2 linked regions of the Coturnix japonica genome follow. The main gene of each other region encodes a partner of the protein of the gene in region 2 in a complex. Links are inferred from orthologs where the notes say so. Each region holds a gene or a part of one and is shown on either strand. Other genes may lie near its edges.

Evidence for each region.
Region 1: the proteins of SMC2 (region 2) and NCAPD3 are in contact, whole or in part, in a cryo-EM structure (PDB 9F5W), measured with the Homo sapiens proteins. The link is inferred for Coturnix japonica from reciprocal best matches to the Homo sapiens genes SMC2 and NCAPD3. Residues at the interface, in NP_001036015.1 of Homo sapiens: Arg112, Ala122, Asn123, Asn124, Thr125, Arg126, Leu218, Lys222, Arg225, His229, Trp940, Asn942, Ala943, Glu944, Phe948, Arg981, Met985, Arg986; in NP_056076.1 of Homo sapiens: Asp31, Met72, Ile80, Pro127, Gly128, Ala131, Phe135, Pro137, Asp141, Lys235, Gln237, Gln240, Leu1121, Asn1196, Asn1200, Pro1203.

What each region holds. Positions count from the first base shown.
Region 1 is NC_029539.1:2,113,406-2,124,497, reverse strand, and holds the end of NCAPD3 (condensin-2 complex subunit D3), read left to right. Parts: intron 1-45; coding exon 46-183; intron 184-483; coding exon 484-617; intron 618-780; coding exon 781-980; intron 981-1,586; coding exon 1,587-1,697; intron 1,698-2,112; coding exon 2,113-2,265; intron 2,266-2,981; coding exon 2,982-3,151; intron 3,152-3,370; coding exon 3,371-3,510; intron 3,511-3,626; coding exon 3,627-3,704; intron 3,705-6,342; coding exon 6,343-6,417; intron 6,418-6,517; coding exon 6,518-6,578; intron 6,579-6,667; coding exon 6,668-6,779; 3' UTR 6,780-7,961; downstream 7,962-11,092. Other genes in the region: JAM3 (junctional adhesion molecule C), read right to left, coding at 10,642-10,677.
Region 2 is NC_029547.1:59,016,066-59,027,703, reverse strand, and holds the start of SMC2 (structural maintenance of chromosomes protein 2), read left to right. Parts: upstream 1-5,132; 5' UTR 5,133-5,281; intron 5,282-5,634; 5' UTR 5,635-5,712; coding exon 5,713-5,880; intron 5,881-6,412; coding exon 6,413-6,562; intron 6,563-7,206; coding exon 7,207-7,329; intron 7,330-8,244; coding exon 8,245-8,283; intron 8,284-8,424; coding exon 8,425-8,535; intron 8,536-8,726; coding exon 8,727-8,771; intron 8,772-9,240; coding exon 9,241-9,474; intron 9,475-10,254; coding exon 10,255-10,404; intron 10,405-11,034; coding exon 11,035-11,268; intron 11,269-11,638. UniProt on the Homo sapiens protein: Central component of the condensin complex, a complex required for conversion of interphase chromatin into mitotic-like condense chromosomes.

The sequences.
Region 1 (11,092 bases), on a different chromosome or scaffold from region 2:
TGACCCTCTGCTGTGTTTCAGGGGTGACTTCTCTTTCCTTTCTAGTTTTGCAGAGTTCTGCTTGGTGCATCTCTTGCTGAAGAGGAATCCATTAATGTTCTCCCAGCACTTCATTGAGTGCATCTTCCATTTCAATAGCTACGAGAAGCATGAGAAGTACAACAGGTTCCCACAGAGCGAGAGGTCAGTTGAGCACGTTTCTACCTCCTTACTCCTGAATGGTGGCCACGCAGACTTTGGTTACAGAAAGCATTTGTGGTACTTCATATTGATGTATGCAGTAGGGGGAAAACAGCTCAAGGAGATGGTGTTAAATTAAGTGGGAGAATTTCTGCATGTAATTTGTGGGAGTGTGTGGTATCCTGGCACACTGATGGGTCTTGAAAGTGACATGCAGATATTCCTTGTTGATTTCAAGTCTTACTATTTTTGTGAGATGGCATAATGTGACTTAACCACGTAAAATGTCTTTCTCTACTACAGGGCGAAGAAGCTCTTCTCTCTGAAAGGAAAAGATAACGAAGAAAAAAGGATGTATATCTACAAGTTCCTACTGGACCACTTTACAGACGAGCAGAGGTTCAGCATTACAACAAAGATCAGCCACAGTGTCCTGGGTAGGGGCCACCTTCAGGAAAAAAAGATAATTAATCTGGCAGACAACTTGTGTCCATTTAAATAAACCCATAAGGCTGTGAGTCCTATGGTGTTACCTTTCTGTCTTTCCTGGCACTGTTTTTTCCTCTGAAGTGATTTTTACTTCTTCCCTGCCTGTTCCAGCATGCTTTGTAGATGGGGTCCTTCCATTGGACATGGAAGCCAGTGAGCTGCTCTCAGATACGTTTGCTATCCTTAGTTGCAAAGAAATCAAGCTGTCGACTATGAGATCAAAACCTGAAGACGACATTCAGCCTGATGAAGATGAAATGGCAATGGCTAATGCTGTCATGCAGGCAGCACAAAAAAAGCTCATCTCACAGGTAAATGGCACTTGGATCTGGCTGGGAAGAGGACTGTCCACAGTGCTGAGAGGAGTTTTAGCTTTCTGTGTTGCAGAGACTTGGCAAGCATTATTCATGTATTGTTACCAAGGGCATGCAATACATATATGTTGTTGTTCAGGCTCTGGCTGTAGATCCACTCTGCCCTAAGGGCCTGTATGGAAGCACTGTGTATTGCGAAAACAAGATGTTAAGGCTAGATTTGTAACAGACCCTTGTGCTTGTGAGGGGTCAGTTGGAGTGATCAGAAATGCATTTCCTGTTTAAGAAAAGAAAAAGCAGCTTTAATTTGTTTAAATTGCTTCTACACGTCTCCTATTGTTAAAGCATCTGAGCCTAAATGGTTTTTGGTGCACCTTTAGACAATTTGCTTTCAATGTACGAGCAGACTCAGTGATCCATCTTGAAAGACTCCCATTTAGGTTAAAAGCCTAACCTGTACACGTGCAGTATAAAAGTGGGCTTAATTGTGATAATTCCTATGCTATGAAGCAGTAATTCCTTTCACTTAGCCCATTCATGTAACAACAGAGTGATTTCTCCTTTGTTGCATCTCGTAACTGTTTGTGCCTTGTTTAAACAAAGGTTCAAAAGAAGAATTTCATAGAAAACATCATCCCAATAATCGCTGAGCTGAAATCTTTGATGGAGCGGAAGAAGATCCCAGCTCTTAGGGACCTTATGGTCTACTTACGGGTAAGGAGGAGTGTTCTCTTGTTGGCTTTTTTTCCCCCTCTTAACTTAATGTGTTAGGTACATAACCAGTAATGGAGCGAACAGCCTTCTTAGAAGGAAATTTGGAAGGCATATGATGTTGTGACACTGCCACTGTGTTAAATAAAGCAGGAGGTGGAGGGATTTTAGATTGGGATCTCACAGTGTGTTACGTGTGAGCCTCCTCATGGAATGTGGGCAGAAAGCTTGAATGCTGGAAAGGTTTTTCATGTTCTGAAGTACAAATTGGAGTTTAAACTCTTAGTCTGTTAAAAACACCTCTGCTCTACCAACTGGTATTTCCTTTTGCACTTAAGCAGCTGTGATCTGAATGGAGACATGAATCAGTAGTCAGGAGAGATTTCTGAAAGGGTTTAAATATTCTCTATTGCTATAGGAAATGATGCAAGACTACCGAAATGAAATCAAAGAATTCTTTGCTGTGGACAAGCAGCTGGCAGCCGAATTGGAGTATGATATGAAGAAGTATGAAGAGCAGCTGGAAAAGGAAAAGTCAGACCATGAGCAAGTCTCGCCATCGCAGGCAGAGGTTGGTGGGGCTGTTAACTCTGTATGCCTTCTGACTGCTCTACAGAAGTCTATACAAAAATTATACAAATAACACCTAAATTCTGTACATCTGTGGATGTTGTAACATTCTCATACTTCTGTGCATCTGCTGACCGAGGCTTTGGTTTCAAACTCATTTAATGTTAGAAAAGCAGCAAACAACACACGTCAGCCAAAGGCAAGTAGCAAACAATTAATATAAAAACAATTCAACTTAAAAGGAAGTCTAATTTTCCACTGTTGGTGCTTATGTGCTGTATCACTCTGTTTCCAGAGTGATAAAGATGATAAATGGGTCAAAAAGAAAAGGGTTTATTTTGGCTGATTTTATACTTAAATGGAATGGAAACTTATATCTGTGCTGGTCATGCAGATCTTTTTTTAGAGTCGGCGTGCTTGGCTCAATTGTCCCAAATCATTTTAGATACCTACCTTAAAATGAAATGACTTTTACCCTGGCAGCTCCTTTCTTTTTCTGCTGACCTACAGAAGCACCTATATATATATAGACCTTTAAACTAGAATATACATATCCCATCATAACTTACTATTTGCTGCTCGTTATAATTTTGACCATCCATTTAAGTCCATCACACAAAGGATTCAATCACACAGCAAGCTGTTCTGGATGTCTCTTATCTAGAGTTGTCTGCACTTAGTCTGTTTTTAGATTTGCTCTTTCTTTCCTTTCTGCAGCAGCCTCCATCTTTGGAGATGCCGTTACCTTCTGGTGCCCGGAGTGATAATGCCCAATCCCCTGTTGCTGGGAGGCAAATCTCATCCCTTGGGTCACTTCCATTCTCTTTGCCTTCTGAGTTTACTACACCTAGAACTGATGTTCCGAAGCAGCCCTTATATGGTCACAGGTATGGGTTTCTTTATATTACAGGTTGCAGTTCTGCAGGCCTATTCCTTTGTTTGTCTGTTCTCTCTTAGTGGTGTGAAATTCACAATGTGAAATCTATGTTTGGTCCTGAGATTGTAAGGGGTTGGGAGGGAGCAGGACTCTTCCTCATGTCATGCTTTTCACCTTGGCTTGCAGCAAGAAGTCACTTCAGTGTTACTGTCTGTCTTTTGCCCTGTAGGCCGGCATCCTTGAGCACACTTGCCATCCTGAACTCTGCCTCGAGAGCAGTAAAGGCCAGAAGCAAGCAACGCAGCAAGAGTGCCGGGGGAATTTTATCAGCTCACTCGCTTCCACCAAGCACAGCTAACAGCAAGCAAGGTAGAAAGATTGCTGCAAACTGGTTCAGTGTCGGCCTGGGTCTAGTTGACACAGCATGGTTGTTAGACCCAGGAGGTCTCTGAACATTTCTATTCTTCTTTTCTTGTTATATGTAGCTTCTTTTCAAAGCATGAATAAGCTGTCTACTGGAGCACACGTTCCTGTGGGGGGCCGTGCAATCAGCACACCAGAACGTAAGTAATCCAACAGAACTCTTTCAAATTGGGCTGAGCACTCCTTCTGTAAGAGAGGTAACAATGTGTGGCTTCCCTGAAGAGCAGAGGAAACTAGTCAGGATTAGCAATAGATAAATAGAGAAATATGGCTGTGGTAAATCAGAATTACTCTGAAACTGAAGGTCTCATGGGAAAGGATGCTTCAAATATGGTTTTCATTTATACATCACAGGGTGTTACGTATTGAATCAGTGCATGAAAACATTTTCAGCAGCCCAAAATAACAACGAACCCACTGCCCTTTCTTCTTTTATCAACTGAGGATTGCTGAGAAGGCATGTTGTTATAATTCCTTAGCAGGTTACGCTGCCCAGGCTGTGCAGGATTCTGTTGTCCCTTAATACTTAGAGTGTAGCTTAGCATTGAATTACAGAACCCTGCTGCAGGGGGAAATACTCGGGGTTCAGTCCTTTTCAGCTGTACAACAGGAGATTCTTTTGTCCAAACAAAAGATCCCAGGTGAGTTGTGACCTGCTTCTGTCACTAGAGCATGCAGTGAGCTGTGTCAATTGAGATACCACGGAGATCTGCTCAAGGAGGATTAATAACCTGCACAGTCATTTCTGATTGTTCTGCCCTAAGGAAGAACTGAACTGAGCTTTAGAGAAGGAATGATGTAGTTGTTCTTTTTTTTTTGACTCTGCTGTAGGCATTAAAATGAAAATACATAATGATGAATCTCTAGTACACAAATTGCGAGTCTGCTGTGCTTATATCCACTGCAGCCGAATTGCCATCTCACAGAAGCTGACCTTCAAAAGCTATGCCTTTTTGGAATGGGTTTTTTTCCTGACAGCATTCTGCAGTCTTACAAATGAAGCTGACTTTCAGCAGATTTCCTTGCTATATGTCAGTTTGTGGACACATTAAACTCCTTTAGGTCTCTGTTTCTCATTACACTAAACTTCCCCTGCTCAGGAGTGAACTCCAATTAAGTTAGGAGTCCAGGTGAGCATCTGACAGGTCATTGTCATTAGGCAGTTGTCCATGTTTGTGGGGCAGTGATGATGATCTAGAAATGCAGGTATCTGAGTGTGGGTTTGTTTTCCTTTTGCCTGTGTCTGTGTAAATACTTGACCTGCATGCACACAGGAGAGCCAGCGGCACGTAGCCAATAAGGCAGTGAGCTGTGTGGGAGTCTGCAAATACCTGACATCCGCGAGCAGGCAGGAGCAAAGCAGTGGCAGTCATGTGCATCCACTGGAAAATCTGGCCCTTCTCCTCCCTGTACGCTCCACTGTTTGGCTCGATTTGTCTGTCTGGATGTTTCTCCTTGCTGGCTGAACAGCAGGCAATGATCTTTGTGCAAAAAAGAAACTGGGGTATGTTTTTAGAGAGCGGAGATCTTTAATTGCCATATCTCTGTCTGGAAGCTTGCATGGCTGTTTCTCTTCAGCATAAGCACCATATGGCATGCAAGGAGGAAGAATGTTAATCTGCAGTGGTACTAAGGCTGAATTCCTACTTAGTTTCAAGGCAGCGTGCATCCTTTGGTGAGGAGACAAACTGTATGAAGCAGTATCGTTTTGGTTACTGTGTTGAACCATCTGCATGGTGCTGCTGGGTCTTGCAGGCTGACAGACAATCAAAAGGGAACATTTTCTTTTCCCCCCAGGTACGTTGTTCTAACACTGTTGGAGCTGCAGCTCTTTGTAAATCATTTTGTACTTGAGAACAACAGCTGTCTCTTTATCTTACTCAACCGTCCTGTCAGTCTGTCCCCTCTGTCTGTCACCTCCTTATCTCTCCTGCTAATTACTTTGAGAATGGCTGAGTGAGTCTGGACAAGTGTAGATTTATTCACTGTGATACATAAACACATGTTTTGAAGATAATACCTTTCTTTGATTGCGAGGGAAGCCTCACTTGATGGCAGCTCTGTAGCAGAGTTTCCATTTCCTACTCAATAAAGCATTCTCTACTGTAATTCCTTGTGAAGGTTTCTGGGAAACAGGAGCGTAAAACAGAGAGCTGAGAGAAGAAAAATCTGAATACTGTGACATCTCTCCTGAGATAAATGACAGGAAAGTGACAGCTGACAAGCATGGCCTGTTCAGGCAAGCTAAATTCTACCTAGCTTCCCTGTCAAGTGATTCCTTGTCTGGCTGCAAACAGTTCCTTTTGGAAGGGCTGATCAAATCCTTTGTCAGCCTTTAAGGGCCCTATTCTGCCTTGTTTGGGCCATGTAACCAATCTGACTGTGGTGCTGAGGGCAGTTCATGAGGTGCTGTGCCATCATCATTATGGATGGTGGCTAAGCTGCAGTGGGAGGTGTGGCTCTAGCACCTAATGCAGGACAAGGAGGTGCACCATCCATGTCCCACATGTAGATTAGTTTCCTCCACACACAGGGAAGGCTGTAATTCAGGAGTATGAACCTGATGTACACAGATGACCCATCAGATTCAGCGCGTTGATTTGAGGCTGATGGAGAGGCACTGAGATCTGATGGGTTGGAGAAGAGAGATGCTCTGCCTAACTGCTTGCAGTGAACTGGATATACTTATTCAGTGTAACACCTGGGTGTTGCACTGCAGCTTGTCTTCCCTCTGGCTGTGTCACAGACAGCTGGCTCACGTGTATTTTTTTCTTTCAGAGACCATTAATGACTTGACTTTTGGTGCTGGGGTCAGTTGCATCAGCTTGACACACACACCTGGTTCCGCTCAAGGCAAGTTACCCACAATTCTATCTCAAAGTGAGGGGATAAAAACCCAAATGATCGAATCTGTGGCATGTTAAAAACATGAAAATATGTGCATTATTTGCAGAGAATAAAGAGGCCGAGGAGCAGTCGGGAGATATTATTTGTTTGACATCACCAGACAAACTGTAAGTTCAATCTAGATCCGAAACAGTGACCACAGTGAGAAGGAATGCTGGAGTGCTTTAAAATACATGACGACTTTGTTTCTTCCTAGACCATCCGTGCCACGAGAGTGGAAAGTAGAATCTCCAGCAAGGAGAAAAAGCAATCAGAAGGTCCCTCTGAGACGATCCCAGCGGAGGACTCCTCTGAAAACAGAGAACTGATCCTTACCATGAACTTTTACGCAGAATCTTCATCATGTTGGGGGAAATCTGTCCTTTGATCCGTAGTGACAAATCACTGTGGACAAGTGTCCTTCCTTACCTGTTTTTCTTCACATTTTACGTGTCTGGAGTATGGATACGCAAAGTGTGTGTTAACATATATATTATATTATAAACTGCTGCTGCTGTTGGCAAAGCTCAGTGAAGTGAGGAAGTGCGAAAGCTCTAGTATTAAGGGAGGCTTGCAATTCATTCACAGGATGTATAATTTGTCCATTTGGAAAAGTACGAGCATAATGTTGCTACGAGCTTAGCACTAAGCGCGTTTTATCGCAGTGTGCAGGAATGTGAGTGGCTCGGCTTATTCACTCAGTCCCTCATTGTCCCTCTTGGTGATACACATGAATTACTTTAATTTGAACAAAGGTAGAACAGCTTGTCACTGCCACACCCCTAGATCTGGTAATTGCATGCTACATCACCTCTTATTTGTTGTGCAGACTCCTGCGTGTGTGAACAACCTTCACGTCCTTTTATATGGAATATTTCCATTCTTGAACTGTGCAATTTCCAGTTATTAAGATTTTATGAAAATAAATGGTTATAGAATTAATTCCACCCACAACTTCTCCCTTCTTCTTGATCTAACAAATTATTGCCACATCCTGCTTTAACTTGCTAAAATCAAGGCTGGTAAGTCATGTATGTACGTACCTTTGTGCTCTGTCTAGAGGCCTTGTTTATCACCAGTGTGCCTGGTGAATGCTGGGTTCTGAACGCTCCTGCCTCCCTCTGATGCCATGTAAGCCTAAGTGAAGCTTTTCAGTTGTTAATTTGTATTACAGAGCTCTTGCCCTGGATTTCACTGCAACTGGAAAATGGGACCTTACCAAAGGCGCAGATCACAGCACAAATGGAGCCAAGGAGGCTTAGTGCCTCTGTGCCAAAGCCCTTCCAGAGTCACTCACCTTCTGCACTGGAATCTCCTTGTCTGCTCTCACTTTCCTTATTGAAAGAATAGAGAAGCCTTCAAGTGAGGTTAAACTTTGTTCTCAAAGTCAAAGTGAAAACCTGAGAGCAGGAGATGCGTGGAATGGCTTTGGCTCAAGCAACGGTTAATTATGGCTGCGTCCATTTATTTTGTTGTTCTCCTCCATTAAAGTATTACTTAACTGCTTTGCATGTTATCTTGCTCTGATTCCAATTTTATCTCCTAATTTGTGCTTTGTAGCTCTTGCTCTGTCCCACAAAGATCAGCCCTGTGAGCTCTGATCGGCCTCCTATAGAAAGAACCAAGGACCACGAACTGATGGACCATGAACTGATGAACATGAATGTGCATTGGACTTCCTGCAGCCCAACTCAAGTGAGTGCTCTGAGAGAGAACTCTTCCACTGAATTCAAAGCAGAAGCCAGCAATGAGGTTACTTGATTTAAGAACAAGGAAAAACCCACAAGAACGCTTCAGAGCTCAGGTATTTATGTAAAACATTCTTGGCAAAGTTAAACGTCATACATTAGTACAAACCTAAAAATTATTCACAATGATCCAAGTTCCATCCATCAGATCTCATGAGCTGTGCTTTGGGGGTCGTCTTCCCCTCCTCTCGTTAGAGATGCCACTGTCACATTGCAGAACTGAATGATAAGTTGTGATTCTTAGTTTGCAGGCTTCCCCCATGAAGGCTGCCTTTGGCTCATAGCAAGGCTGTAGATTGTACTCTCAGAGCTACCCTGGTTCAGCCATTTACCTTCTCTCCTTTATTATGAGGATCCTACAAGCAGCACAGAAGGGTGGATGTACAGAAAGTGCAAAGGAATGTTACGCTCACTGCTGTTGTAATGATGAGAGGCAGCGTGCAGTGAATGCCACTGTGTGCCCATCTTAGGAAGGCTGCCAAAATGGAGTTGAAAAACAGCCACGTCTTGGTTATAGAAAGAAATCGCTGCCTTGGCTTTAGTTTTGCTTTCCTTAGCAAAAGGAAAAGTGGTAATGTTTAATCTAAATAGAACAAATGCAGTAATGGCATGTCCAGCGAGGCCCCTAGCAAACAAAGCAGATGAATGCAGAACGCTAAAACAAAATAACACTGACAGTCCAAATCATCAAGTATTCAAAACGCTGCCTACGGGGAGAGTGAAGACAATTCATATTGGAAATACAAGAACACTCAATTATGCTACATTTAAAAAGAAAAAAGTTCTTCAACCACAGCACAGTCCTAGTGTTGCATCCACATCTTGCAGCTCTATGCAACCCAGTGTTGGAAAGCAGTATCAACTCATGCATCAACATGAGTTTCCATTTCTTCTCTTTAACGCAAAGAGAATTAGATCGCTTTCTTTTTATTGGTTTCTTTTTTCTCTAGCTGGTAAAAGTTGCAACCAACACTACAAAAGTGCTTCTGTGTTGACCTTTTGCTTTCCCAACTCCAGAAGCAGTTGCTTGGCTATGCATCTAAACCTGTAACGTTGCCACAGCTGTCCCAGCACCATGTTAGTGCCTCAGGGAATTTGCAGAGGGGGGTTGAGCAAACATTAAAGTCACTCTGTCACCTTGTTGGAACTGAATCCCAACAGCCATCCCTGGGTTATTTCTTGCGACACCAAAAACAAAGCGTTGGTCGCTGGCAAGAAAAGTTCAATGTATAAAAAAGTCGATAGGTCCCGCTATAGATCTACAAAAACGATCCCTGAGTGACTCTGTTCTGGGTCTTGTAAGACCTCACGTGGCAAGGAAATAGCTGAGGGGGGCTGAGGAGGGAAGAGATGCTGTTGTACCTGCAGCTCTGTATTACACTGCAGTAACACCGAGCTGCTCTGACTGTGCCATAGTACAGCAACGTCTGAGCTCTCCTCTGTATCTTGGGAAGTAAAAAAATAGCCACGTTACTTAAACACGGCTGGCATCACGTATTTACACTTGAAATAGAAACGTTACCTTTTCTGAAGTAATCAAAATAGATCTTTGCAAAAAAATTTAGGATGTGGGGTTTTACAAAAGAAAAGGAGAAGGTTAAAAAGAGAAAAGCTCACAAACATCTCAGTACCTTTGCTGGGCCTTTGGGCCCATAGAAATATTTGGCTTTGATTTTCCTGTAAGGGCTAACTTAGCACACTGGGTTCTGTGCCTGCACTGTGAGCCTCAGTAAGATGCAAGAGGGAAGCCTGCTTTGTGCAGATTACAATGTGGGGTTACCTGTAAAGCAGTGAGCAGCAGCAGCCCTTCAGCCTGATGCTGCCCGTGTTTCTTGTTAAACAGAGCAATGAGGGCTCAATAAGCAACAAAAAGGGCTGAGAACATGAGTTGTGTTTGCTGTACGTGTGTCTGTCAACTAGTTGGGTGCCTGTTCACACCTGAATGGTCATAGAAGCACAAGATAATCACAAGTCACAACCTGGGCAACAAACTGCTGCGAGGACTTTCCCTTTGCATGGGTAAATGGGTAACACTTACTCTTTGCAGTCCTATTGCTGTATCAGCACCTTTTGATCCTACTAGTAACTCATCCTAGTAATGTCTATGTAATGCTGCTCCCTGGTTGCTTTGCACACTGTGGCCGTGTCCCTGCAGCACAAAGAGAAGGCAATTCCACAGGCTTCCATAGCACAGTCTCTTGGGAAGTATTTCCCTTCCTTACTCCAAGGTTTAAGGGATCCTGTTGGTGTCTCCGGAGTCAGAGAGATGCAGGTTGGGCAGTGAGGAGTTGCTTTAAACTTTGGCAAAGAAAACAAAAAGATCTACAGCTAGCTATCGAGTTCTTGTGTGTTCCAAACTCTTCCAAGCGCACTTCATTCATCTTTTGCTCTGGCTTCGAGTTCCTGGAGGTATTTGCACACTTTGCAATTTTCTTTTGGCATCTTAGATGACAAACGAAGACTTGTGCCTGAAGTCGCCCTGCAACCAAACAGTTGTGGGTGTGGGATGGATGTGGTGGCATTGCAGGCTCCCCTTATTTCCTGCTGCCCACAAAAGGCATCAGCTGTACCAGATGAGTGCTCCCTCTTTCCTTCTATCATAGCACGGTGTGGCACAGTGCTTCCTCATTCCCTATCTCTGCTAATAGGGAGAGGCTTTTTCTCATCCTAAACCCAGCCATCTATTCAAATCCCAAAAAACTCTCACTGCCTGCCCATTTAATCCAATGAAACTCATCCTAAGATGGGGGGGGGGGGGGCAAGCTATAAGAGAACTGAGACAGAGCAGAGCTGTGTTCTATAGCTTTTTTGGCATCAATCGCTTTGAGCAACTTCAGCTGCTCATCATTCCTAAGGAAATGACTCAGCCTTTAGCCTTCTGTTTTCTCCCTGTT
Region 2 (11,638 bases):
ACCCCCAAAATCAGAATGCAGAAGGAGATTCACAGTTCAGTAGAAAACAGATGAAGAAAATATGGGAATGGTGTAAATTAGGATCCCTTCGTAGTTGCTGGCAACTAGAAGACCAGGAACAAAAGAACAGATGAGACTGTGAAAATTTGACTGGAGGCTGAAGGGATGGAGGTGATGCCCAAATTAAATCTGGGAGTCTTCATGGTAAAGTACAGTAAAGCTCTCCTGAAAGCTAAGTCAAATAGTAAAGTAAAGCTACAGTAAGGCTCATAAATTCTCTCTAAGTAACCTCAGATAATGCTTGTATCTTGTGTGTGCACAGAGGTGAGTTGGGCATTTGTGGAGTAGTAGTGAGAAATTCCTTGCACATCACCTCTTTTATCTGTACATGTATATCTTGTTATCCTTTTCCTTTTCCCTGTCTTAGTAAATCATCCTGTCCCAACCCATGAGTTCTACTTGGTGGGCTTCTTTTTTTTTCTTCTGATTCCCTCCTCCACCCCACTGGGAAGCTGGGGAGGAAGTGAATGACACTGTAGTGCTGAGCCACGTGCTGGGTTAAATCACAGCAGCTACACTGCAAGACAAAGATACATTAAAAAGCTGAGTAGAGTATCTCCCTTGGAAACACTACTTTGATGCTGAAAAGAAAACGCCAAATCACCACCACAGCAAAGTTGTTCAGGAAAGCAGGATCTAATCCAGTCTCCTTTCCTAGCTCCAATTTAGGCAGTTTTCTGCAGCATTTCAAAGGCACCGACATAAAAAGCTTCCTAAATATTTGAATATATGTTTCTCCTCAGAAGGACTTAGGCAGTAAATTCTTGCAAGTAGAAACTATCAAGTCAGATATGTATCAGAGGTTACCTCAGAATACCCTACATGTTACAGGACTTCCAATTATCTGAAACTGAATATAGCCTGATGTTCTAAGTGCCAACAAGTCATAGCAGATCTTGCCTGTTCTTTTTCTCTGGCTTAGCTATTACAGTGCTTTCTCAGAAAATACATTTGTTTGTTTCTGTGGTTTAAAAAAAAAAGAAAAAAAGAAAAAAAAAGGTAAAGGCAAACCACTCCCATGCTACATTACATACACTGCAAATATCTGAGCAAGCATGACGCTGCATTATAAAACAATAAAGCTTTAGCTTCAGTTCTTCGTGCAAAGCTGCCAAAACCCAGAAGAAGGTAAAAGGTTGGATGTGAAAAGTCATTGCACAGCAGAAAGACAATGTCACGTGCACTTTGTTGTCATTCTGAGAGGTTCACCTGCTCTGCTGAAGAAGCCTGCACAGGAATGGGTAAGGGGTAACTAAAACCTGCAGAGAAACACCTCGGCTGCCCTTCACTTTTCAGAAACATAAAATCTTAAGAACAGTTTCTGCTAAGAAAGAATAATTTAAAACCTACAGATTAGAATAAAGTTTGGACAATGAAAAACTCTGCTAGAGTTTCTTGAAGGACATGTTGCAATTTCTTTCTACTCACAAGACATTCTAGAGCTTCTTTCCATCAGGTTTTAAACTCTCATTGCTTAAAAATTGAAACAGTCCAAACACATGCTGCAGCATCATGAATTGCAAAATTCCATCAGAGCTGTTGAGACATACTGCAGATCAAGCACAGCAATGGTTTCACTTCCTTCACTTGCAGGAACGTGTCTGTTACTGCATCACAAAGAAATATTTCCTTTGCTTTATTTTCCAGTTGTCAAAACAAACTTTTTTTTTCCTTTTTAAAATTTTTTTGGAAGTTACGTTCAGCTTAGTTTTCAGCATGACTCCATTTAATTTAAAACCTAAACCTGACTACGTGAAGCAAGTTACTCTGTTTCAGAGGAAAGTGGGGCTGGCATCTGATCTTGTAAAATTACTGCAAGAACTTCAGGGTTTACTAAGCCTGTCAGCTGGATGTTCCTTCCCTCATTTCTATTGCTCACTATCCACTTCTACAAAGAATAAGCACCCCAGACCACTGTAGAGCTGTAATGACACAAGTTTTCCCCTTTCTGCTAGAGAGCTTTAAGTACATGTAAGGGAATTTACACACACACTTATGTGCCTGCAACTCCTCTGAGGCCACCTCCTGAATTTATGTAGTATTATAACTGCACATTCATTGCTGAGTAGGTTCCTGTTCAGGGATAAGTTCTTGCTCAAGAAACTCACTGCTCTAGGCTATATATGGTACCTGACACACATTTGCTATCTGCAGGTCTGAATATCAGAACTGCCAAACGTGTAATAATTAGAGAGGAAACAATAAAGGGAGAGTTATGAATGAGATTCTAAGGAATTACGATGGGACCTGTAAAAGTACAGAACAGTGACCAGTATCTGTTGTATCATTATTTACCATACACAACTTTAGACTGCAGAAAGTACCTGACAAAAAAGGTTCACCCACTCCCTTGGTACACAGAGAGCAGTGCAGTGAAGTATTTACTATTCAAAACAGTGAAAACAGGTGCATCCATGGTGTCATGGTTCAGCCCTGGCAGGCAGCTCAGCATCGCTCAGCTAATCACTTACTATTCCAGGTAGGATAAAGAGAGTGAGGAAGGTCAAGGGGTAAGATCTCATGGGTTGAGATCCATAGAGTTGGCTAGGTAAAGCAAGAACTGCATACACAAGCAAAGCAAACCACGAAACCCTGAGTAACCTGTGGTACAAAGTCCCAGGAAACTGAACCACTGCTTTCATGTGTGGATCTTAAATGCTCGTAATTGGTGCAAGACAATCTATACCTGCTTCAGACTGAGAATCTTCCTTTTTTTTTTTTCATTAACAATATTAAATCATATCAACCTACATAAATACAGCAAAGAGTAAGAGAGAAACAGGTCATTAATGCAATCTCCTGCAATATCCTAATAGCCAAATGATGAGATAAACTGGTACAAAAATGAGGTAAGACAGAGAACAATCTGGACTGCCACATCTGAAGCACTAAGGTCAGTGGTACAAGGTCAAAAGATTCCTTACAGATCCTATTTCCGGGTGTGCTGATCAGCAGCTGGCTATACGTAAGCCACCAGTGAGCTCAGATGGCCAAGAAGACCAATGGCATCCTGGCTTGTACCAGAAATAGCAAAGCCAGCAGGAGCAGTGTCAGGATGTGCAATGCAGGTCTCCTCTTACCTCAGCTTTGGGGGTGGAGACCCACAAGACCCGTGTGAGAAACAGACAAAAGAGGAGTCTTAAGGTGGCAGGATGTTCCTGTTTCGGTTGAAGAACAAACCAGATCATGGTTTCAACATAGAATCTTGAAGGCTGCGGTGTCCAGAATGAGAATGTTTCATTATCTGTGAAAATAATATTTAAGTTAATTCTTTGTAACTTGAATATGAGCTCTAAGAAGAATCTGCCTATAATACTCGACTTTCAATCCAAGTATTACTAAGGTTAGGAAAATATTTTTGGGAAGCATGGGGGACTGGAAAGGGGGAGGGAAAAGAGAAAAGAGGCTAAATGACAGAAGCAAGAAGAGAGACAGAACACACAGGAAACTGTCCTTCTTCCAACACAATAGAAGTGCCTTCCTGGTAAGCCCTGTGACCATAACTCTTGGTGAAGAACACACAGGATAGCATTTATTTTGCTAACACTGTTATCATACATTAGTACAATTGCACCTATTATATGTACCATGGGTGGTCCTGTATCTGTTGTATCTGTCAGTTCAACAAATGGTCTGTTTTTTAAATGCTTTTGAAACTGTTCCAGTGAAAGTGCTTAGGGGTGCTCTGACACACAAAGTGCCACAAGGGGAGATTTACAGCCTTCCATGGCTGCTTATTAATGAGAGTACAGAGAAAATGGAAACCAGCCCATCTGAGGGGAGTCACATGGCAGAGGAGTAAGTCTGCAAAACAGGAATTTCTAGTGAGATGCAGAAAGTCCATAACTTGACAGGCTTGTGATCAGTTTGGTTTGTCTGGCTTGGTTCTGACCTTGTGCTGAGGCTAGAAGACTTCCAGAAATGCCTATGAACTTAAATTATTCTATAACTATGACATAATGGAAACTTATACTCACAACTCATACTTTGCTCCCTGTATAACAAAGAGTGCTTGCTTGGTATAAGCAACTGCAAACACTAACACACTGTGAACTAAAACAAGTGTTAGGGGCAAGGAAACTTGTGGCCTCATATTTATTTTAATTGTTTTTATTTATTAAAAGTTTCTACATGAAACTTCTCAAATCAGCTAAAGAAACAGAAAAATCCCATGGGAAATTTACTCTAGCAGCACACGCTTTAATATTTTCCATCAGAACCAGGTCCCAAAAGAAAAAGGAACAATTATATCTTCTATATAATCAACAGCATTTATAGTGCGATTTTCAAAGAAACCCCAAACCATTAAAATTACAACATTTGTCTACCTAAGAGGCGTTGTTCCATTTCACATAAAATAAAAGGTGTTGTAGTACCAAAATAGAACATTTTTGTCTCTTTATCTACTGCAATGTGCCTTCAATTCTTATGAGGTTCAACACCTACCAGTGAGAAAAATGAAAAGATAAAAAACCAAGAATCTTTCAGAATCTTTCATATCACTAACTAGTCAGTGGTTTCCCACAGATCAAGTACATACAGGAAACTATCCACACAATATTTACACACAGAAGTTACAGAGCTAATAATTGGAAACACTAAAGCCCAACTGGCAAAGGAATACAGAGCTCTGTTCGTAACACAATGGTCTATTTTTACACTATAACAGCAGCTTCAGGGCAACAGAGCTCTGTTTGTAACACAATGGTCTATTTTTACAGTAAAACAGCAGCCTCAGGGCAACGCCTGCAGCTGAAGAACCCAGCCTAAAACGAACAGTGAGACTCCATTAACACCCACTCCACCTACCCTCAGGGGCGGAGATCCGCCATTTTTGTGCCTTCCCGCCCAGACATGGCAGGTCCTTCAGCCTGTGAGGCTGTCCTCCATACTCGCCTGACTTTATGAAGCCTTCCTCTCCGTCAAATAAACTCACTACATTCTTACTGTGCTCTATTTTTATTTATAAAGAACTCGTTAAGTGGGCTGAAAGTCTCTCTTCCCTTCACGGGGGGCAGTGGACCAGACAAGCCGAGATCTCTGCATCAAGGCAGAGTGTTGGACACCCATAGGCGGGCTCTTCCTCCAAAGGTCGCTTCCTCTCGGCGCCAAAATTCAAACGTTAGTTGCCGCCGTAGTTGTGCTGAGTGTGTGAAGGAGCTCCGCGGCTGCCAGCGGTTTAGCGAGGGCTTCCTTCGCTTCGTACGTGTGGTACGGCTTGGTACGTGTGGGGATGGCGGTTCGGTGGGGTACAGGACAGTCTCGGGTCTATGTCGGTTGAGGTGCGTGACTGTGTCTGCCCGGACCCCAGAGCGGTAGATGAGGATGTGTGGTGGGTGGGTGGGCTGTAGCCATAGGGATGAGCAGTGGGTGAAGTCGCTTTATTTTAATTGTACATATTGGAATGCTTGCTGGGTTTGCGGTCCTTTATGGTTTTCTGATAAAAAAAATGCTTGCTGTTTTGATTCTGATGTTCCCCTTTTCTTGTAGCTGTGTTAGGCATGCAGTACAGTTTGCTTCTTTTGTATGTGTGTTTTTATTTTATTTTTTTTTCTTTTTTTTTTTCCTTCAAAGCATGAAGTGTTATAATCCAGCCCTTAAATTGTGCCCTTGGGGGAAGCACCAACGCGGCCCTTTGACAGCTTAAAGAAGATGTACATCAAATCAATTATTCTTGAAGGATTTAAATCCTATGCTCAGAGGACAGAAATCTGTGATTTTGATCCATCGTTCAATGCCATTACTGGCTTAAATGGCAGTGGCAAGTCCAACATCTTGGACTCCATCTGTTTCGTACTGGGCATCTCCAATCTATCTCAGGTAAAGAGAGAGGGCGAACTTAACAGAGGTCGTCCTTACGTCATCAATCTTTCATTTTAGTCTCCTGAGAAATCTCTGGTGGAAGACCCAAAAAGTGTTATTTCTGTTAAAAACCTTTGCCCTCAGTTGATTTGCTTCCATCCTCCCCCCTCCCCAGTTCTAACTCTAGATTAATTCAACAGACTTCCAAGGAACACTTTAGTGCACTGCATGAGTAATGATGAATATTCTATCTGTGGAGGTATTAGTGACTGAGCTAATAATTTAGCTTTCTATTATTTTTTTCTTAAACACCCACTCTTTTTTATCAGAAATATCATGTAGAAACAAATGGCAAGTTCTAGCTCACTAAAACTTGAACATTCTGCTGTTGCAAGGAGCACCAGCGTCTTGCATCTCTGGTATCTCTCATTGCCCTGAATCTTCAGTGTTATAGACAGACCCACCGAATCCGTTCATTTTGCCAAAGCAGAATAACACAGCAGCTATTTGATTTCTTTCAGAAGTTCATTGATCTGTTCCATATATTTAGGTGCGAGCTTCAAACCTCCATGATTTAGTTTATAAAAATGGGCAAGCTGGAGTAAGTAAAGCAACCGTGTCTATAACATTTGATAATTCTGACAAGAAACATAGTCCACTGGGATTTGAAAATAGCAATGAAATCACCGTCACCAGACAGGTAAGCACTTAATGTGTGTAATTGTTTGCTCAGAAAACTATGTACATTTTTACTGTGCTTAACAAAGTGACCTTTCAGCAGGAAAATAAAGAGTTTTAAAAGTCCTTAAGTTTTTGCAACTGAGACAATGATTCTACAGTGTTGTTAGCAAAATGTGTAGAAGTGGAACCATTGTGCTAGGTTAAAAGTTGTAATTACTTGGGAAATAAGATTAAGATAATTAAATGCTGTATATCACTGGTGTTTTATGTGGAGCTGCACAAAAACATACTAGCAGTAGAATGTTCCTAAATAAATTCTAGCTTTCTATCTTGTGGCCTTCATTTCTGAGCTTTGTGGTAGATTCTGTTTACAAAACATGGAGCTTTTATAAGAAATCCTTCATAGTTGGGGAATTTCTTGTCAGTCTTGAACAAATCTTTACCGTCTGTAATTGATCTTATTTAAAGCTTCTATTAGGACTGAAAAGTTGTCTGAAAAATCTTTAAGGTCTATTGTTATCTTGGGCATGGTATGTGCACACAAAGCAGGAGTGTATGGAATTTTATTATTATTTTTTGATACATTTAATTATTTTGTCTTTTTGCAGTATCAAGCCACTTTTAAATCACTTGCAGCTTTTTCTCTTTCTTTTCCTCATCTAGGCTGTTGTTGGAGGTAGGAATAAATATCTTATCAACGGTATAAATGCTTCCAACAATCGTGTACAGGATCTCTTCTGTTCTGTCGGTCTCAACGTCAATAACCCTCACTTCCTTATTATGCAGGTATTATGCATGCCTTTCTAAAATTCAGAAAAATACAAATGACACTAAATTTGTGGAATAGCACTTTTTTTTTTTTTTATTAAATAAAAGGAACTTTCATGTGAAAATTGAACATTCAGAAGCTAAGATTTTTAGAGCAGCCCAGTATGACCCTGACTGAATTTTTAGCCCTTGCTTTCTTTCATCTCCTCATTTGTCTTACAGGAGGCATTTTCTAAGGCATATGCCAATTTTGTTTTCCTTCTGGTCTCTAAGAGATGTTTCCTATATTATTACATAGTAAAAAAGGGTGTTTTTCCTTATTTGCTGTGTTCTTTGTTAGACAGTATTTGGTATTAGTTAGTATGCTTGCTTTATTAAATCCCATTTAGAAAAAGATGAGCTGGCCACGTGAAAAGACTCTTGTAACCCTTAATAGAGAGACTAAATCAACCTTTTATAGATTTGCATGGAGTAACAAAATGGTAGAATTTACTTGCTTCAGATGGAGTTGTCCTAATTATTATATATATATATTTTTTTAAAAGGTCAGTTTTCATACCCTTTTTATTCCTCTTCCCTCCCCCCTCCCTTCACAAATGAGCCAGATTACCAAGCAACCATAATCAGGAAGTTACTTGAGATCAGAAAGTCAGTAAGACTGCCAGAACAAAATAAACACAGCATCACTTTCTTGGATGTGAGCAGCAATGCATGTAGAAGCTCTAAAGGCCATTTCAAGCTTGCTGTTTGAAGAAAGGACTTATTATTTGTTTGAAATTTAGAGAACAAAGCAATTTATTAAACTAACTTTGCAATAATAATAAAGAAAGGTTAGCAATTGGTGTTTAAAATGAGTATGGGGGTTTTAATTTATTTTTTACTACTATAGCATGGTACACAATTGTAATTTTCCTTTTGTCTTTCTTTAACCAGGGGCGAATTACTAAAGTTCTAAATATGAAGCCAACGGAGGTGAGAGAACTATGACTTATTTATTTTTTTCTTTCTGGATAAGAAAGTGTTATAGAGGGATAACATGTTAAGCTTGCTTTAGGTTGAACCAACTTGACATGATAAAAATCATTAAAACTCTGTCAAATTATTTTATTCTAGATTCTATCTATGATTGAAGAAGCAGCGGGTACCAGGATGTATGAATGCAAGAAAATGACTGCCCAGAAGACCATAGAGAAGAAGGAAGCCAAACTGGATGAAATTCGAAGGGTTGGTACTATATGTGGGAGTGTGTGCTTTATTTGCTAAAGATAATGGATTACTAGCACAGGGTGGGTTTTTTTTTGTTTTTGTTTTTACTTGTAAACTATTTCCTTTCTTTATATGTTTCTCTATGTGCAGATATTAATGCTACATGTGTTTTAAAAATCTGAATACCAATGTTCTGGTTTGTGTTTCAGATCATAACTGAAGAGATCAGCCCAAGTCTAGAGAAACTGAAAGAGGTATGGAATATTTGGAGAAGTGGTAAGAGGCTTTAAAGTACTGAAGAAATACTTTCAAATAACTTGAACTGGTATGTGGAAGATAGGACGTGATATTTTTTCAGCCTTTTTAGAATCTTTTAGGTGATGTAAAATTTATCACCTATCCAAATATAGACAGTGTGGTTTGCAGGAATTACAAGATATATGGGAGAGGGACATAGGGAACAATAAGCAAATGAGAGAAACAGAAAACATAGAAGTTAAATTCTTGTCTTAGTTGTTAAACTTGCCTCAGGTGGAGTTTCTGTTATACAATCAACTGCACTAGTACAGCTTCATCTAGAATTTTCTTAAGTAGGTTTGCAGTGTACAATACTGAACGTTATATATTATATTCATATTACATATAATATTCTATAACAGTACTACCCTAATTTTCTTTCACCCAATTTTAACCCTTATTTTCTTTCAACCTATATCTTTTCAGGCACGTGCATCGTATCTAGAGTACCAAAAAATAACACGAGAAATGGAGAATTTAAAACGCGTCTGTGTGGCTTTTCAATATATCCATGCTGAAGAGATAAAAGATCAGACTACTAACGCTTTAAAGGAAGCAAATGAAAATAAGAAGAAAAATTTGGAATTAATGGCTGTGAATGAGGAGAAGGTAAAGGAACTTGCACAACAAATAGAAGATATGGAAAAGAAAAACAATAAGGTAAGTGAGAACCCAGATACGCTCACCTGAAAGTCTTAATAGAAGGAAGTATGTGAGAAGAAAATTATTTTTGTAGATGGTATGCACTTAGATTTTACTCCTTCTATGGTGAATTGTTTAGATTATACACCGCTTACTCAATAGTAGTCATTCCCTAAACGGGGGTGTCTATAAAGTTTTAATGTCTGAAATACTGTATTTCCAACTGCTGTAAATCACAGAATATCCCAAGCCAAGAGAAACCTTCAAGGATCAGTTTCCTATTCAGTAAATTCCCAAATAATATCAACAATTTTGCCAGGCATTGGAGTGAGACTGAGTGATTTAAGATGATAACACTTTTCCCTCATATTTCTACTCTGTGTATTCAGTGGAAAACTTTATCTGATTTTTTTTTTTAATTTTTTTTTTTTTTTTTTTTTTTTTGTCCATTTCAGATGAAATGCACTTGCAGTGGGAAATACAAAAATCACTAGTGACCTCAGATACAGAGGTAGAAAAAGTAGTTATGTACTGAGTATCCCACAGCATCTTTTCATTCTTAAGTGCAACTCCTACACTTCCCCTGCAAGGACAGAGTTTCTCAGTAACTACAGTTGGGCTCTAGCAGTGGCTTCAAATTAGTACGGACTTCTGTGGGAAGAGGTTTTAGCCCATTTGTTTTGGAGTCTCTATCTGCTTCATCAGACATGCATCTCCTATGTATAGCTATGATCAGAAAATGAAATCTTAAATATTGGATAACAGTATACATAAAATTTCCATTGTTTCTGAATTTAGGAATTTGGTGCTAAGTTACAGTCGCTGGAAGCTGCTCTTTCAGAACTCCAAAGAGTTGATGCTAAAGTCCGCAGTGATCTTGATCACAAGAAGAAAAACTTAAGTGGTGAAAAGAAAAGGCATAAAGAATTGACTAAAGTCATGCAGGAGGTAAGCCCTTTGTTTATGTTATTCTTTTTAAGCACTGATGTAGTTCGGTGTGCATTGGGACAGCAGGTTTTTATTATCTTTTCAAGGTTGATGGGAAGGAATAGCAACAGGAGGGCAGAAACAAATAATAAGTGGTGTTACTTGATTTGTATGGCACAGTTAGTAGACTGCCACTAAAAACAAATAAGATGTATTTATGAAGGAAGTCCAGCTCTGCTGTTGACAACTTTGTTTTAATTTTGGGAGGAGATCCCAACTGCGTTCAGGAAACCTGCTAAACTTAAAGGAAAAACATCTACTTCATGCTCTTGACATTTAATTCATTTCTCTTAAATAGGAACACTAAATACTTTACAGAGAGCTGCTTTTCCTGGTTGTGCAGTTATCATTTTTTCCTCTATTTCATTTTTCTCTGTACATGTTGTGTTGAGTGTCCTCAATGAGCAGGTGCACGCTTGAAGTATGTAAAAACAGGCTGTGAAAACAAAAAAGCTGACAAAAGGTTTTAAAATCTTGATCAGTGAAACTAATCATAGCTGTACATCATCTGATTTACCAACATAAACTTTAAGTTAATAGGGGTTGTTTTTTTGTTTGATTTTATGTATCATTATTGTTTTTTTGCTAAAGGAATTTAAAGCGATAACATCAAAGGAAAAGGAAATAAAGAGTATACAGGAAGATCTAAATGGTTTACAGGAGGAAAGTAAAAAAGGTGCAGAAGCTTTAGCCACAGCACAACAGCATTTTAATGGTGTATCTGCTGGCCTGTCTAGCAATGTCAGTGGTCGAGGAAGTTCTCTTGCTGACCAGATGATGACCTGCAAAAATGAAATTAGCAAAGCAGTAACAGAGGCTAAACAGGTAAGAGTCAGAGCTCTCTTGATGCACTGTTGGGAAAATTATAGAATATATATGCAAAGTATTTTGGCATAGGCCAAAAAATGTAAGGTTTTTTTAATTAAGCAGGCTGTTTAAAACAGGGAAGTCCTTGAGCCAACATAAGGAAAAGTTACAACATTGCCTTGAAGAAATACAGCAATTGGTATACAGATGACTGACAGTGTAAAATAGGAAGCTTAGAATAGGAAATTAAAGTATGTCTGTATTTAACTAGCAGGATCAAGTGTGTCTGAATAGGGAGTTTGGGAGGAATTACTCTATTACATTTTATGCTAGTCACATTACTTGAAACATGTCGCATCCTTCTTAAGATAGGAAACTTGCTGTGGTT